Caenorhabditis elegans: one gene and its partners. The protein of the gene in region 3 purifies or fractionates together with the protein of the main gene of each other region. This does not show direct contact. Each region holds a gene or a part of one and is shown on either strand. Other genes may lie near its edges. The genes, in order: F55F8.3, F13H8.2 and Y53C12B.1.

The links.
Region 1: the proteins of Y53C12B.1 (region 3) and F55F8.3 fractionate together in Caenorhabditis elegans (co-fractionation; one large-scale study listed by BioGRID). This does not show direct contact.
Region 2: the proteins of Y53C12B.1 (region 3) and F13H8.2 fractionate together in Caenorhabditis elegans (co-fractionation; one large-scale study listed by BioGRID). This does not show direct contact.

What each region holds. Positions count from the first base shown.
Region 1 is NC_003279.8:5,651,479-5,657,035, reverse strand, and holds the start of F55F8.3 (Periodic tryptophan protein 2 homolog), read left to right. Parts: upstream 1-3,387; 5' UTR 3,388-3,459; coding exon 3,460-3,477; intron 3,478-3,531; coding exon 3,532-3,644; intron 3,645-3,688; coding exon 3,689-3,783; intron 3,784-3,830; coding exon 3,831-3,930; intron 3,931-3,982; coding exon 3,983-4,132; intron 4,133-4,192; coding exon 4,193-4,328; intron 4,329-4,375; coding exon 4,376-4,742; intron 4,743-4,840; coding exon 4,841-5,268; intron 5,269-5,315; coding exon 5,316-5,557. Other genes in the region: wdr-12 (Ribosome biogenesis protein WDR12 homolog), read left to right, coding at 95-416, 471-596, 647-779, 844-970; cir-1 (CBF1-interacting co-repressor CIR N-terminal domain-containing protein), read left to right, coding at 1,216-1,382, 1,430-1,719, 1,769-2,269, 2,396-3,120.
Region 2 is NC_003280.10:6,267,830-6,273,386, reverse strand, and holds the start of F13H8.2 (Small-subunit processome Utp12 domain-containing protein), read right to left. Parts: upstream 3,024-5,557; 5' UTR 3,016-3,023; coding exon 2,860-3,015; intron 2,817-2,859; coding exon 2,696-2,816; intron 2,651-2,695; coding exon 2,440-2,650; intron 2,392-2,439; coding exon 2,118-2,391; intron 2,074-2,117; coding exon 1,874-2,073; intron 1,829-1,873; coding exon 1,378-1,828; intron 1,332-1,377; coding exon 687-1,331; intron 635-686; coding exon 153-634; intron 107-152; coding exon 1-106.
Region 3 is NC_003280.10:9,743,535-9,749,091, reverse strand, and holds the start of Y53C12B.1 (U3 small nucleolar RNA-associated protein 13 C-terminal domain-containing protein), read left to right. Parts: upstream 1-3,013; 5' UTR 3,014-3,024; coding exon 3,025-3,176; intron 3,177-3,323; coding exon 3,324-4,131; intron 4,132-4,434; coding exon 4,435-4,865; intron 4,866-4,910; coding exon 4,911-5,557. Other genes in the region: nos-3 (Nanos-type domain-containing protein), read right to left, coding at 1-667, 766-1,382, 1,427-1,547, 1,683-1,913, 2,059-2,375, 2,589-2,625.

The DNA of each region.
Region 1 (5,557 bases), on a different chromosome or scaffold from region 3:
TTCGGGGTTATCAGTTTTATCAATAAATTTTGTTTCGAAAATTCTTTTTTTTTATTTTGCAGTCATTACTTCATTCTTAATAAAAATTTTCCAGCTCATCCTTCGTGGTCATGAACGTGCCGTCGAATGTGTTTCAGTCAACTCGGATTCGACCCGTGCGATTTCTGGATCAGTCGACACAAATCTCAAAATTTGGAACTTGGATGCATCTGATGAAGCAACAACATATGAGAAAGAAGAAGAAGAAGAAAGTGCGAAGAAACGCCGAAAGAAAGAAACCAAAACTAAAGTTCCGATGGTTACGATTGGAGGGCATCGTGACAAAGTATCCGCAGTCGAATGGTGTCCATGGAATTCTGGACACGCATTTTCGTGCTCGTGGGATCATACTATTGTTGAATGGGATTTGGAATTAGGTTAGTTCTAATGATAAATATCCTATTTATATACAAAAAATAATTTCATTCAAGCTGGTGAAATTTCGCGGATCAAAGGACCCAAATCATTCACAAGCATTGATCTTCATCCGAAGAGTGATCTTCTCATCTCCAGTTGTACTGATGCTATTCCAAGACTTTATGATCCAAAAAATAGAGGTTTGTTTGTTAATATTTATTTAGTCTCTTGTATTTATAAAACATTTCAGATGGAAGTATGGTTAAACAATCATTCATTGGACATCAAAATGGATGGGTTGAAGCTGTCAAATGGAATCCGTTGGATACAAATCAATTTGTTAGTGTTTCCACCGACAAAACTGCGAAAATGTGGGATGTAAGGTAGGTCTTGTTTCAAAAATTAAAGAACCATTCAGTTTTTACTTTAATATTCGGTTTGTTTCAGATCCTCAAAGTCTTCATTGTTCGACATTCATGGACACGATGATCGTATTTTGTGTGCCACGTGGAATGAAGGACTAATTGCAACTGGATCCGCAGACTGCACAATCAAAATCTTTGAGACTGCTTGATTTGTTTTGTTTTTTGTTATTCTACAAATTCTTATATTGTTTTTTTTTCTATATACCGCGTTTTCTATTTGTTGATTTTGATTTTTTGTTGAACTTTTTATGAAGTTATCCACTTGAATTTATTTTCCATTACCTTCTGACAGTTTTGAACTGTGTTAAATATTTCAATTATTTTTCTTTCTTCAATTTTTCATTCAAGTATTTTCAGAATTTTTCAGTGAGAATCAAAACAAAAGCGTTGCAAAATGGGGAAGGGTTTTCAAAACTTCATGTCCAAAAAGGACTTCCATCCATCCGCTTTTCGGAATCTCAAAATGGTCTGGGAAGCACGACAGAAGAAGTCTTTGGAGGACAAACGACAAGAAGAACTTCGAGTTGCTTATGAGAAAGAGCAAGAAATTTTGAATAACAAGTATGTTGCATTCAATATCTTCTCACTAGATTATAAATATTTTTCAGAGCTCTTCTTGGAGACGAAAAGGCCAAAATGGGATTATCGTTCATGTATGATGCTCCAGCTGGAATGACAAAGAGAGAAGAACCGAAAGAAGAGCCGAAATTCGAATGGCAACGGAAATATCAAGCACCACGTGAAGATTGGGCTAAAGGAAATGAAGAGATCCAAGATCAACCATTCGGAATTCAAGTTAGAAATGTTCGATGCTGTAAATGCCACAAATGGGGTCATATAAATACGGATCGAGAATGTCCATTGTTCGGAAAATCTGGAAATTTTGAAGATGAAGGATGTAAGTTTCCGAAAAAAAATCGAATTAAATGTGTAAAATCAATTTTCAGATGCAAATAATCCATCAGACCTAATCAAAGATCTTCGTCGGAGACGACAGGAAGGCAAAGCAGGACCTTCAACATCGAAATCGTCTGCTGCTGCGGCGACAGGAGAAGATGACGATGAGGATGAGTGGATGGATCATCAGCAACTTGCGAGTGATATGCGTGAAGAACATGGAATCAAACTCAAAAGTTCTGTTTTGGCTGGAATGCAGACAGATCAACAGCTAACAAGAATGAAAAAAGAAATGACCGAAGAAGAAATGATGCTGGAGTTTTTCAATTCGATGACTGAAAAGGAAAAAAAGAAATTGCATAAGAAGCTGATGAGCGGTGCAGATTTGGAAGATGTAATGAAGAAGAAGAGTAAAAAAGAGAAGAAGAAGGAAAAGAAAGAGAAACGGAAGAATAAAGACAAGAAGAAAGATAAGAAGAAAAATAAGAAGAGCAAATCTCGTGAAACTGATGACGATTCTGATGGCAGCGATAGTGAGGATGATTGGAAAGGTATTTAAAGATGAGGTTTTTACATAATTAATTTGATCCTAAACACTTGTTCATTGATATCAAATATTAACGAAACGCTTAGAGTAGTTATTAGTTTCTCGATTTTTCAACCAGTTCATGTTTCAGAAAAATCATCGAAAAGGATCAAAAGAGAAGTGGAAAGTTCTCCGGAATACAGATCGAAGTATATCAAGCAGGAAGTTTTATCAGAAGACGAGAATTCCCATGGAAGAAAGGATTCGAGCCGAAAAAGAGCGCATAATGATTCAGAATCGTCAAACGAAGTAAGATCGTCAGAGAGGAAGAGATCTCGAAGAGATGATTCTCCGAACGCCAAAAGAAGTATCGGGTTGAAATCGCCGGAGAGGAGAAGCTCACGAGATCGGAAATCTTCACCCAAACAACGTCAGGATTCACCAGTGAGAAGACGGCGAAGTCCATCGTCGATTCGGAAGGAAAGTCAGCGTGTTCGTAAACATTCACCAGAACAAAAAAGAAATGGCCGTCATGATTCACGATCAGTGTCCCCTGTTAGAAGACGTCGTTCTCCGTCTCCTGACAATCGTCAGCTGGGTTCGAGAAAACAATACTCGCCACTGCGACGTCGCCAATCATCTCCGATGGTTGCATCACCAAGAAGACGTAGATCTCCATCACCAGAACGACAGCGCAAGAGACGTTCACCATCCGATTCCCCGCCAACAAGGCGTCTTTCTACGTCACCGATCCGACGTCGTAGAAGTCCATCGCCCAACAAGTTGCCTGTGAGAAGGCGTCGTCATGATTCCGGATCGCCTGATCGTGATGGATCTGAATCACCGAAAATGTGGAGAAAGAAGTCGCATAAATGAACGCTATTCAAATCAATTTTTAAAATTATTAAATGTGGTTTTCTTTTAAATTTTTTCCGTCATGTCTAATAAAGTATTTTCACACATTTTTGCTGTTTATAAATTTCTTGTATTTGGTGTTTTATAAATAATATTCTTAAGAATATTCTTCAATGGAAATGTTTTTATCTCTCATTGCGATACTTCTAAAATCCGCAATTGCGTCAACGCACGAGAATTGCGCCAATGAAGATTCTTAGCGCGGAATTCGTGCTTTGTATTTTATATAAATAAAATATATTTTAGTTTTCATTATTTCTTCCATTTTCAGCTTGTTTCATTGAAGTCTTGCCATTCACTATGGACACTAATTTCAAGGTAATTATTTGAAGCGTTAATTATTCAATTAATATTCCACCAAACCCATTTTAGTTGTCCAATTGCATTGGTACAGTGTATCGAGACGGTCAAGTGGCGTTCAGCAAAGATGGATACTCAGTGATTTCACCTATTGGCAACAAGCTATCAATTTTTGATCTCAGAAAGTAAAAAATAATTTTATATTCACATTTGATATATAATTTTTCAGCAATACTTCAAAAACATTGGATATTGACTGCAATTACAACATTAAAAGACTCTCTATTAGTCCATCGGGTTATCATCTTCTTGCTTCTGACGAGCGTGGGTTATAATGAAACCTATTCGAAGTCAATATTAATATTCTTCAGGTGGAGTTGTTCACTTTGTCCATTTGCTGTCCGAATTCAAAATATATACTTTTCGCAGCAACAAACCGATCGGATCACTTCAGTGGTCACCAGACGCAACGTAAGAAAAAAGCAAATAATTGCAGTTTCTAAACTCATATTTTCATTTCCAGCCGAGTTGCTATTTGCCGTGAAAACGACCTTCAGATCCATGAATTTGGCAAAAGCATCGAAAATAAAGTTTATAACCCGTTCAGTCTGTCAAGAACCTACAAATTGAGCAGTGATAGTCTCAAAACAATTGACTGGTCAGATGATGCAAAGTTAGTTTTTTTTTTGAAAATGAAACGTTTTTTTCCCAATACCCACTAAATAATTTCCAGTCTCCTCGTTTCTGGTGGTGAGGACAGAGTTGTTCGAGTTGTTGGTGCAAAAGATTTCAAAAATTTGTTCATTCACCCACTGGCTTCACACAAAGGATATATTGTAAATTGTCAATTCATGAAGAACTCTTACGATGTTAGTTTGATATATGATGTTTCCTTTATCAGTGGCTACTTTTCCAGATGATTACAGTATGTAAACGTGGACTTGCAAACGTTTGGACATGTAATCTGCGTCCAGGAGAGTTGGTTGAAGGAATCTGGAAGAAAGATGAAGAAGGATCAGATGATATTGAAATGTTGGAAGATGGAGAACAGAAAGTCGAGAAAATTTTCTTTGAAAAAACAAAAAAATATTGGTTATCTGAATCGTCGGGCTCAGGAAAGTCTGTGGATGTGACTGCAGCTAGATTTCACAAAGAAACTAATATTTTGGCAACTGCGTTCAATAATGGAGTTATTGTTCTTCATGAAATTCCTTCGTTTGCTTTGGTTCACAATTTAAGAGTTTCTGAAATGAGAATTCAAACGGTTGCTTGGAATCTTACAGGTTATTGATTTTTACAAAAATGTAGATTTCTTTAAGTGAAATTTATGTTAAAGATCAGAGTCCTACCAAAAAACTGTAAACCTTTATAAAACTTTTAGGCGACTGGTTGGCAATTGGTTGCGGAAAAGGTTCAACAGCTCAGTTGGTCGTATGGGAATGGCAATCCGAATCATATGTAATGAAGCAGCAAGCTCATTCTCTTCGTATCACTACTGCAGAATATTCCCCCGATGGCTCACTTATGGCTACTGGAGCTGAAGATGGAAAAGTGAAGATTTGGAATTCTCGTTCCTCGTTCTGTACGGTCACATTTGATGAACACACTTCTGGTGTAACAGCTGTGAAATGGACACAATCTGGAAGAGCTATCCTAAGTGCATCACTCGATGGAACTGTTCGTGCACATGATCTCAAAAGATATCGAAATTTCCGTACTCTCGTGTGTCCTGAACCAACTCAATTGGCTACGTTAGCAGTTGATAAAGCAGGAGATTTGGTTATTGCTGGAGCTAAGGAAGTTTTCAATGTAAGTTTGAAATATTTTCCAAACAAATTTTATTTTCTTATTTTCAGATTTACATTTGGTCTTTCGAAACAGGTCACCTGTTGGATATTCTCTCAGGACATGAATCTGCAATCTCGTCAATCGATATTCACGGAAATCATATTGTCAGTGGTTCATGGGATAGGACGATCAAAATGTGGACAATTGTCGATTCACAAGCAGAAACTGTCGAAGTATCACATGAAGCACTCGATGTCAAATTTTCTCCGGCTGGAGATGAGATTGCTGTTCTTACATCGGATGGAGTCAT
Region 2 (5,557 bases), 3.5 Mb from region 3:
TCCAGTGACATTTCTCAATTTTTCCACACCCTCGGACATTTTCGATTTCATTTGTTCGAAGATTGGGACATAATCGGACGAGGCAGTGATGTGACTGAGGTGGATTCTACAAAAAAAGTGGTTGCAGTCATTTTTAAAGTTTTCAGACAAACCTTGTTAGATATACAGCAACATGGGTGCACAATTCAGCTTTATACTGTTGTTGTGTGCAAGATGAAATAGCCAGAAGGATGTCCGCAACGTAGGAGAGAGGTACTAGAAGCAGTGTTCTATCAAGGTCGCTGGCTCTACATTTGGCGACGACATCAACGATGAAATGATCCAATGATTTACTGTTATACGCTCCAATAAGAGGATGTGGTTCATGCCCTGGATCTTCTTGGCGTTGAACCTTCTCGTTTCTAGCAATGTCAACTGCTTGAATGATATTTTCAGCGGATACAACACTGGAACTTGTCTTGCTGCTAGCCACACCAGCTTCATTGTCAGCATTTTCACCAGCAACAACGTCTTCCTCTTCAATAAGTTTTTTCTCGTATTCTTCTTCTCTTTCAACTTCCTCTCGTTCCTCGACAATTAAAATTTCATCGGTTTTCTCCCAGCAACGGATTGACTTGTCATGAGAAGCAGAGAACTGAAAATCAATATTTTGAATTAACAGGTATTTTTCACTTTATAATACTCACCATAACAGATCCATTAGTAAACTGAGCCAAACAACGAATATCCAAAGTGTGTCGATCAAGAACTTGAACCATAATAAATTTCACTGCATCCCATTGTTTAATTTTTCCATCTTTTCCGGCGCTCCAGAAGAGTTGTTCTTCTCCAGGACAGAATAAAACCGAAGTTACTGCATCATCGTGTGCATGGAATGATTTATGACAATCACCGAAATCCAATCCCCATACTTTGACTGATTTATCGACGGATCCAGTGACACAAAGTTTACTGGAAGGTGCAATATCGACACATGTGACAGGCAGTGAATGTCCGTATAGAGAAACAAAGAATTTAAGCGTATTAACAAAATACACTGAACATGTGTTATTCAGAAGAGCCACAACAAGAAATTTTCCATCCGCAGAGAAACTTGCAGCCAATGCTTCATCGGGAAGTTCGAGAACTTTTTGTTCTTTGATGGAAATTCTCTTTCTTGATCCTTCTGTCACCAGCACAAATGACCAAAATCGAACCGTCTTATCTGCAGAAGCCGTGATAAATCCTTCATTGTCAGGTGAATTTTGAATAGTCCAAATCGCTCCAGTGTGTGCTTTTCTTGTTTCAACCAGCTCGGCACTACTTAACTCGAACACGCCGATTTCTCCGTTCTGCAATGACAAAGTTAACTTCAAAAAATATTATACAACACAATACCTTTCCACCAGTTAAAATGTAGTTATCACCAGGAACAAAATTAACTGCGACAATGTCTTTGATATCGTTGTCAGTCAATGTTAATGACGACCGCAATGAGTGTGTACTCCATACAATTACTTCATTTCCACCTCCAGAAGCAAGAAGACTTGAAGAAGAAGATACACATAAAGCACGTACATCTTCTCTGTGACCGAGTTTGTCTAGATTACCAACACTATCACATTCAACACTATTTGACGTAGTTTCAATACTCATTTTGACCCAATGAACTGTGTTGTCTGTGAGAAGTGCATACCACTTATAAATTAAAGTGTTTTCGTTTGTTTTGACTGATCTCACAACATCAATCCACTTGATTTTATGAGGTAAAACCATCTCTCCAATGCGAGTAACAAGAATTGTCACATCTTTTGCCACATCATCCTCGTTAACTGTTGTTGTGTCAGATCTGAGAAAATGTAGTTGATGAAACAGTTATTTATTGACAACTTACGTCGCTTTTCGTTTAGCACTTTTTAACTTTTTGGTAAGCCTTTTTGCAGATTCGGTTTCGGAGAAGACTCTATAGACGTCGGCCACTTTATCAGCACCAACACATACTAAGAATCGATCATCATGAGTTGCGACCAATTGCAGAGCTCTTCCTTTGCTCTGACGGATCACTCTTCCGCGCAGCTTTGTCGTGATATATCTCTGAACATTGATTATAATAACTTATTTTTTTAGAAAACTATTACATTGGCCATATTAGCAAGAACATCATCTTCCTTTTCATCATCGTTTGTTGCTTTCTTTGCAGAAGGTTCTTCACTTTTTACTTCTTGTTCAAAGATAGCGCCATTTTTCCAATTGAGTTCGAAAACAAGCAATTCTAATTCAGCAGTTGCAGCTACAAGTACTGTTTCATCACGATGCAAGCTCATTGAATAAATTTCGTTTCGGCTGTCCATCACTGTATAAAAGCATGACTGCGAGGCAATACTCCAAAACTTGATCAAACTGTCTTTCGATCTGAGAGAAACAAGCACATTACTTCAATAAAATTAAGTTGAAACATACGTGGAAATTATGAATCTATCACCGCGGACAAATTTCATTTGTGTGACTGATTCCTTGTGGCCGTGTAAACGAAACATTCCACGTTCGGCAAGAATGTCCCACAGAACAATGACTCCATCTTTTCCACCCGTCGCAAACAGAAGGCCATCACTGCTAAACTCGATGCAGTTCACAGCTTTCTTGTGACCAGAGAACATAATTGGTTCAGAATCTGAATGCAATTGTTGTGATTTTGATTGAATAATCAAATTAAAACCTTCATTTTCTTGATTGAACAACTTCACTGAACCATCGGCATATCCAATTGCAAGAAGCGGTTTGTTCTCGCATTGCCGAACACACGAAATTGGCTTTGTAGATTCAATAATTTCGTTAACCTGAAAATATTTACAAATTAATGTGATTTGTATTTTAATAAACCTTTTCTGCAGTTCTCATGTTGTAGAAATTTAAATATTCATTTGCCGATACAGCAACGGTTTGTCCATCAATCGCAACAAGTTGGCCGTTGGCAGATCCAACGCACCCACAGGAGCCGGCATGTTCATATTTCAAATAATCCTTGGTCAATCCCATCTGAAAACAAACAATTATAATTTTTGGGCAATTCCAATAGGTTTATAAAAACATAATTGACAATGTTTTTGGTGATGAAAAAAGAGCCAACAACTCGAAAATTGGGTTGTGTGCAAATAGCAAAGCAGAACTCGGAAATAATTATAGACCATTGAACAATTTCGAATGAAAAAAAGATGTGCAAAATTTAACATGTATTTATTATCTAGAGACGCAAACGCAATACGGAAAAAACATAATTATAAAACTCGAGAAATAATTATCAAAAAAGATTGAGATGTCAATTGACGCGCATTGTCCGCAAACACGACTACGAGGAAATGCACAGATTGTGAAAAAGGAGGGAAGTTTAAATTTGAGGATCTACAAAAATCGAGACCCGAAGAACTCGGGGGATGTCCAACTGGGGGGATTCCCAACTCGGGGGATTGGCCACGCCCACAGAACCGTGCCTTACAATACGCCCATTTCTGCAACCTCCGCACGGTTTTGAATGATGATTTTTCTTCATTGTTTTTTGGGGGAGAAAAATCAATTTCGACTCTAAAAAGTTCAATTTGAATTGTTTTTTTCGGTTTTTGAGTCGTTTTCGCGGAATAAAAGTAAAATATTTCAAAAAAATCGATATTTCGCAGTGAAACAACAATTTACACGGAAAGGGGACGCGTAAAAATCGATTATTTGCAAGGAAAGAACAATTTACACGAGAGGAGACGAAGTGAAGAACGTAGAACGAGTTCTATTTAAAAAATTCGAATAAGATAACCTGAAAAATTGTCATGAAATGTTTTTCAGAGCCGACGGAAATTGTTCAATGAAATTATTGTACAAATTGGTTTGCAAGCTATTCATTGAACATTAAGAGCGAGATTTTATTGATCATGATAATTATTTACAGATAAGGATAATATTACATTTAATGAATTGCATAATTTCAACAAAAAAAACAATAATTTGTCATGAAAACGGAAGAATTTGGAGGATGAGCAGCTCGGGCGGATCTGAAAAATTTAAATTAGAACTTTCATAAAGACATCGCTGATATATAAATGAAAAAAGATTTTATCTGGTCTATTATCAGATTCGCTTAGTTTTTAGAGGCTTTTGGCTTAAATTCAAAAAGAACATTCAAAATAACATGGTTATTGCGAAGAAGAACTGATCGCCCGCCACTATGCAGAAATTCCGACTTCAAAAGAGCAGTGACAGCAAATTATAGCTGTTTCAACGATTTCAATGCCTCTATAAGTCCATATATGTTCGATCCGAAGATATTTCATTAATTTTTTGTTAAACTATTTCAATTTTTGTTCTTAAATCAATTTTTTTCCTACTTTCTACAATTTGAGAATATAATACTAACGTGGGTGGACTGGAGAAGCACATCCTTGTTTCATCCGTGCAATTTTGATGGTCCCTCGATTCGACGAAGTCTAGAAATTAAAAAAATCAATAAAATATGAGAGGGAAAGAGATTAACAAAAGGAATACACGAATTAAGGAGGGCGAATTAACAAGTCACGGTTGAAAAATACTTCTTTTTGCGAAAATGGCTGAAAAAACGAAGAAAAACAATTCAAATTGAACTTTTTAGAGTCGAAATTGAATTTTCTCCCCCAAAAAACAATGAAGAAAATCATCGTTCAAAACCGTGCGGAGGTTGCAGAAATGGGCGTATTGTAAGGCACGGTTCTGTGGGCGTGGCCAATCCCCCGAGTTGGGAATCCCCCCAGTTGGACATCCCCCGAGTTCTTCGGGTCTCCAAAAATCGCCTGACGGTTACCTGCGCCTGAAAAGAACCAGAAATTCTCTCCAGGATTTTATCATTGCCGAACTTTTATGTTTTTTTTAATTGAAAACAACTTTTCACAAATTGTTGTATAGTGTTTTTGTTCTTGTATACCCGTAAATCGACACAAGATACAGTAACCCGTTTTCCATACGGTCATTTTCTGAAAAAAAAAACAGTAGTTCGCTACCGAGGAGTTATTAGAAACTTTAAATCAGGTAAACAAAGGTTTAGCTAATTAGATACTATAACATTTGACAGTTTTTGATTCCTCCGCCTTTTGAGGAAATATGTATTTGAAAAATGTATATGAATGAATAAAAATCCAATATTTCACTCTTTCTAATGTTAAGGAAAACTTATTTAGTAATAAAAATAAAAAGTTTGAACAAAATTATTTATTTAAATACATGTAACTATCAGAATGAATATTTGTATAGCGTGTTGGACGGGTCATTCAGATAAGATCATCAAGAATCTTCATATTTTGAAGAAAAATCAGTTTTTAAAATATTAGCAACAAAATTCAAAAGGTAGGTTTCGATTTCTGTTCAGCAGAACGCGCACAGTTGATTCGAGTTTGATCTGTCACAGGTGGGAAGCGGGGCTCTCTGGTAACCGGCCACTGCCAAGAGTTCGGCAACTTTTCGGTAACCGAAGATCAAGTTGCCCAAGTGTTGTGGTTTTTGCCGTAGAGTCTTGGCGGAAACAAGCTACGCTTGTTGGCTCGACTTGTGGGTTGGATTATGAACT
Region 3 (5,557 bases):
GACTTGGTGATTCAGAATTTTCAGTCGAAGTTTGATCATCTTTCGATTCGACTAACTGAAGGATCTGTTTACTTGGTGATCCTGCACGTGAGCTAACTGGTTGAAGATGTTCAATTCTATTGGTAAGCTGTGTAACTGATTCATCCACTTGTTGACTGTCGGATTGATATTGACTTGATGAATCAAAATTTCCTCGATTTTGTGGATAACTTTGAGAAGAATTGTAGCTTTGATTAGAATTTTGACGAGAATGTTGGTATCCGTGACCTCGTGAACCACCTCTTCCTCTTCCTGATCCAGCATTTCCACCTCTTCCAGAATTGAAGTAGCCCATCGGCTGTTGCTGTTGCATTCCAAAACCTCCACGTATTGGTCCTCCCATTTGATTAATTTGTCCACTCATTTGATACGGCGGGCCTCCCATGAGCGGCTCAACACCTCCTGGACGTCTACCTTGCTGTTGCATTTGTTGCATTTGATGGTGAGGCGGCGGAACCATTTGCATATATTGTTGCGGTAGATATTGTCCTGGATGCTGTTGTTGGGTCATTTGTGCATTCATATGAGGATGATTTTGCTGATGGGGATGATTCATCATAGAAGCAGCAGCATGAGGTGGTGGTGGGCCTCCTTGTGGCATTCCGTATGGTTGCATTTGCTGAAACATCTGAGGAATTGTTGTTTGTTCTTTTTAAAAAAAGTGTAACTCTGTGAAATTGTCAAAATATAATATAAAATCTTCCCCTAATTTTTTTAAAGTTGTACCTGCATCTGATGTTGCATTTGGACGGCTTGTTGTTGATCCATTTGTTGATGTTGTTGCTGAGGCTGCGTGAAGTTTCCTGGTGGAGCGTAACCGACAGGCATCTGATTCCAGAGTGGGTTCGATACAAAATCCTGTTGATGGTAGCCTTGTTGAGGTTGTTGTTCATTCTGATGTTGATGTTGCTGACCATCGTCCTCATTTTGACTGTTTCGTTTACTTTTGCGAGCATTTCCTCCGTCTTTTTCCAAACTGCTAGCTCCACCAGCTGGCTCTTGCCGGAACACTCGTGGTGCTGGCACAGGAACATACACCATTGGATACAGCATTGGATGTTGTTGCTGCTGCTGTTGATTCTGTGGATTGTGAGGCATCATTTGAATAATTTGGCCTTGCGGGCCTTGTGGACCCCTATACTGTCCATAAGATTGAGCATTGTGTGGCGGTGGTGGCCGTTGCTGGATTACTGGTCCAGCATAATATTGAGCTTGTCCACTATGTCCCTGCTGTTGATAGGTATTTCCTGGAGGAGGTCCTTGTCCACGGTACTGATCAATTTCATAGTTGCCACTGTTCATCATTTGCTGCTGATTTTGTGGTGGTGGCCCTGCTTGAGGATCTAAAATTATGCTTTTGAACAGAACACAGTAAGTTTGCACCAACTATATTGTGGCCGACCATCGAAATTATCGTTGGGGCCATGAATGACAAAATTATTGTTTCCACCGTTGTTGTCATCCGCGTATCCACTTGGCGGACCACCGCTTTCCATTTGTTGATACTGCTGAAAATAAAGAATTTGCAAAATGTCTATCAACTCTTCTCATTATTTTCCTGTAGATATAATTTCCAAATCATAACGCTCATTAAAAAATTATTATGAGCTAGAAATAATTGAGGAGCCCGTAATTCTCCATACCCGATAGCCTCCTGGTGGTCCTCTTTGGTATTGTCCACCATCGGATCCACCTCCAAACTGCTGCTGTTGATCATATCCTTCTTGTGGTGGTGGTTGTTGTTGCTGATAGCCGGGCGCGCCGACGGTTCCTCCGTAATATGTCATACCATTTGGTGGTCCAGTATGTGGCGGCTGTGGGCGCATTTGAGAGAATTGCTGTTGACCGCTGTTCCGATGATAAGCTGCTCGATGCTGAAAATGAATGAGATAAATTACATGTTTGATATTTCACTGATTTGAAAAATCTCTCAATTCTCTTAAAACCTTGCGCACCTCAAAAGTGTTCTTTTTCTGACTTATCTTTTTTCGATAGGATTTTCAATAGTTTCCTACTTACAAATCCTGGCGGAGCACGTGTCTGTTGAGGTGTGCCCTTTTGGTCGTCAGTCCCTAGCCCAGAATCTGGTGTTGTCCTAGTGGTGTTTCCTGGCGGCTCTGAATACTCAAACGAAATTGCTGACGACACGTTGGCAGTCGAGTTCGGCACCGAATCAGTCGTTGAGGTATGATGGGGGTTGTTGTTGTTTTGGTTTGAGTTTGCAGCGCTGCCGCCGTTTTTCTTGTTGTTATTATTATAGACGGTTGGGGCACGTTGTTGTTGCTGCTGTGAATGTTGCTGGAACTGCTGTCCAGACATTACCAAGTGAACGTTGACTGTAAATGTTGACTATCGAAGTGTTTTAAAATATGCAATATGTTTAGAAAAAGAGAATCAGCAAAATTTTATCGGAATCTATGTTTTCAAAAATAAGGAGCTCAATTGGCAAAGAGTATCAAAGAAAATGAGAAATTGAAAAAGGAACATGTGATTTTGGTAAAACTAGTTTTTAGTTCTCAGTTGAGTGGAAATAACAGAAAAAAACATACTCGGAACACTTTGTGTGTAGAAATGTAATAATTGCATATTTTTCCAGAGTTTATATTGCAAAATGATAATGTTACTAGTTTAAGATAACTCTTATTTGAAGGCGGCAAGGTAATAAGAGAACAAAAAGGTTAGAAATCTATAAAAAGCGTCGGCGAACGCTAATAAATTCATCGATAAAATGCCGAAATGGGTGGGCACTTAAAGGCGCGTAGAATTAAACGGGAAGTGGGTCTCGCAGCGAATAAGTACGGTGACACTTGTTTCGGCATTAGTGTCGATTTACGGAGTCGTTTTTTTAGATCATTTGATAGATTTTAAGTAAATTTCACCTATTTTCTATTCTTTTCATCAACCTTTACAGTTTAAATTATGTTATTCTTATTTTTAACTCTTGATCCCTCAAATAACTGCGTTACTAAAACATTTTAAGGTGAAATGACTGAACCTATCAAGGAAATTGCCGCGAAAAGAAGTGTCGAAGCAGTTTACACCGGAGGAACTGTCAGATGGAGTGCAAATGGTCAGAAACTTTTTTCTACATGCACAAATGTTGTGAAAGTGATTGATCTGGCTGACAATACTGCAAGGTATGTGATGTTGCGACAGAACTTTAAAACAAGTTTCACCCACAAAACTAGAAGTAGATTGATTATGATTATTTGAAAAATTGAATATGAATAATTTTGAAGTTTAATAAAATAAATTAAATTTGAAATGCATCAAATCTTTTGCAGCTATACCATCGGCGACCCTGAAGATGAGCTACGCATTACGTGCACAGCTGTCGACAAGAACAGAAATCGCCTTTTGGTCGCCTATAACAATCAAATAATTCGTGAATACTCAATTCCTTTGGATCCGTCGACAACTAAACCAGAGTTGGCCAGAACATGGAAAACCATACACACTGCTCCTATTCTCGTTATGGAATTCAATGAGGAGGGCCATTTACTGGCGACTGGAAGTGCCGATCACATCGTGAAAGTCTGGAATCTGACAGAGCAACAATGTACACACACATTAAAAGGACCCTCGGTAGTTTCAGCAATTCTGTTCGGAAAACATGAAAAGCTTGTCGTTGGATACATTGAAGGACAATTGAACCTCTATAATATAATGAGAGGTGCTCCGAAAAAACTTGTAAACACATGGAAAAGTCATAATTCTCATATTACCGCACTGCTTCAAGTTCCGGATTCACGAGTTGTTGTGGCTCTTTCGCGAGATCAGACGATGAGTATTCATGAAACAGAAACTCAAGAAACACTCCGAGTTCTTCCACTCTACGAATCAATTGAAGGCGGAGCAATCGGACATAACGGAAATCTTTTCACTGTTGGAGAAGAGGGTGTTGTTAAGGAATTTGTGATTGAAACTGCGAAGTTGGTCAGAAAGAAAAGGATTGCCAGCTCGAATCTCGATCACTTGGCCTACGATGTTGTTTCTAATCGCTTTTTGGCAATTTCCGCCGAACAAAATCTTATAATTTTGGATTTTGAAAATCTGAAAATTGCAAGACAAATTGTTGGATTCCATGACGAAGTGAGTTTTATAGTTGACCTTGAAAGAAAAACAATGATTGCAAATTGGAATTGAAAACCATTTGTTGATATCATTTTTGTCATATCAAGTTGCTTTAATGTATAATTTTTCGAATGTAAATCTTTTATACAAAATTCGTAAAAAAACACCGAAAAACGAAAATATTTGATTTTATCATTTTTTTAATAATTTTTTCTTTGAATATTACCACTTTTAATATGCTCTCAAATTGCCAAGTAATATTTCTACGAATAGTAATAATTGGATTTAAGAACCTTCTTAATTATTATTCCCTATCTTCAGATCTATTCGTGCTGTCTTCTTGGAAAAGATGAATCTCACATGGCTGTCGCTTCCAATACTTCTGAAATCCGACTCTACAACACTAAAACCCTGGATTGTCAATTAATTCGTGGTCACACAGAATCAGTTCTTTCCGTAGTATCTCCTACCTGGGACACATCTCTACTGGCATCATGTTCTAAAGATAATTCGATTATCTTTTGGAGACTTGTAACATCTCCTGAAAATGACTCTTGCTCCACTCTGGTCCCAGTTGCGGCAGCTACAGGACATGCAAATACAGTAACTGCTCTAGCGATTTCCAATACCGGACGAGCTCCTTTCCTGGCATCAGTATCAACGGATTGTACTATCAAATTGTGGGGATTGGGAGTTTCTACAAAACTAAAAGAAGTCAAAATTGATGCAGAAAAAGATTTTGTCGAACAGCTGTAAGTTTGAAAACATTTTTATTGCGAAAATAATTCACTTTCCAGCCCAAAACTGACATGCAGTTCAACAATGGTTGCACATGGAAAAGATGTGAATTGTGTTGATATTTCCGAATCGGATGCTCTTATTGCCACTGGAGGAATGGATAAACTAGTAAAATTATGGCAAGTGGATACTCACAAAATGCAATTGGGAATCGCTGGAACTCTATCAGGACATCGTCGTGGAGTTGGAGATGTTAAATTTGCAAAGAATTCTCACAAACTTGCATCTTGCAGTGGAGATATGACCATTAAAATCTGGAACATCTCGGAAAAATCTTGTCTTCAAACCATTTCCGGACATTCTTGTGCTGTATTCCGAGTGATATTCGCTCGCAACGATTCTCAGTTGATCTCTGCAGACAGTGCTGGAATCATCAAGATTTGGACAATCAAAACTGCTGATTGTGAATGTTCCATTGATGCGCATACTGACAAAATTTGGTCGCTTTCGAAAAATCATAACGAGTCAGAGTTTGTGACTGCTGGAACTGATGGGCGGATTGTTGTCTGGAAGGATGTTACAGAGGAGAAACAAAAAGCCGAGGATAATAAGAGAAGAGAGGCTATTGAACAAGATCAGACTTTGACAAATTTATTGAGTCAGAAGAGATATTCGGAAGCTCTCGTGTTTGCACTGACTCTAGCCA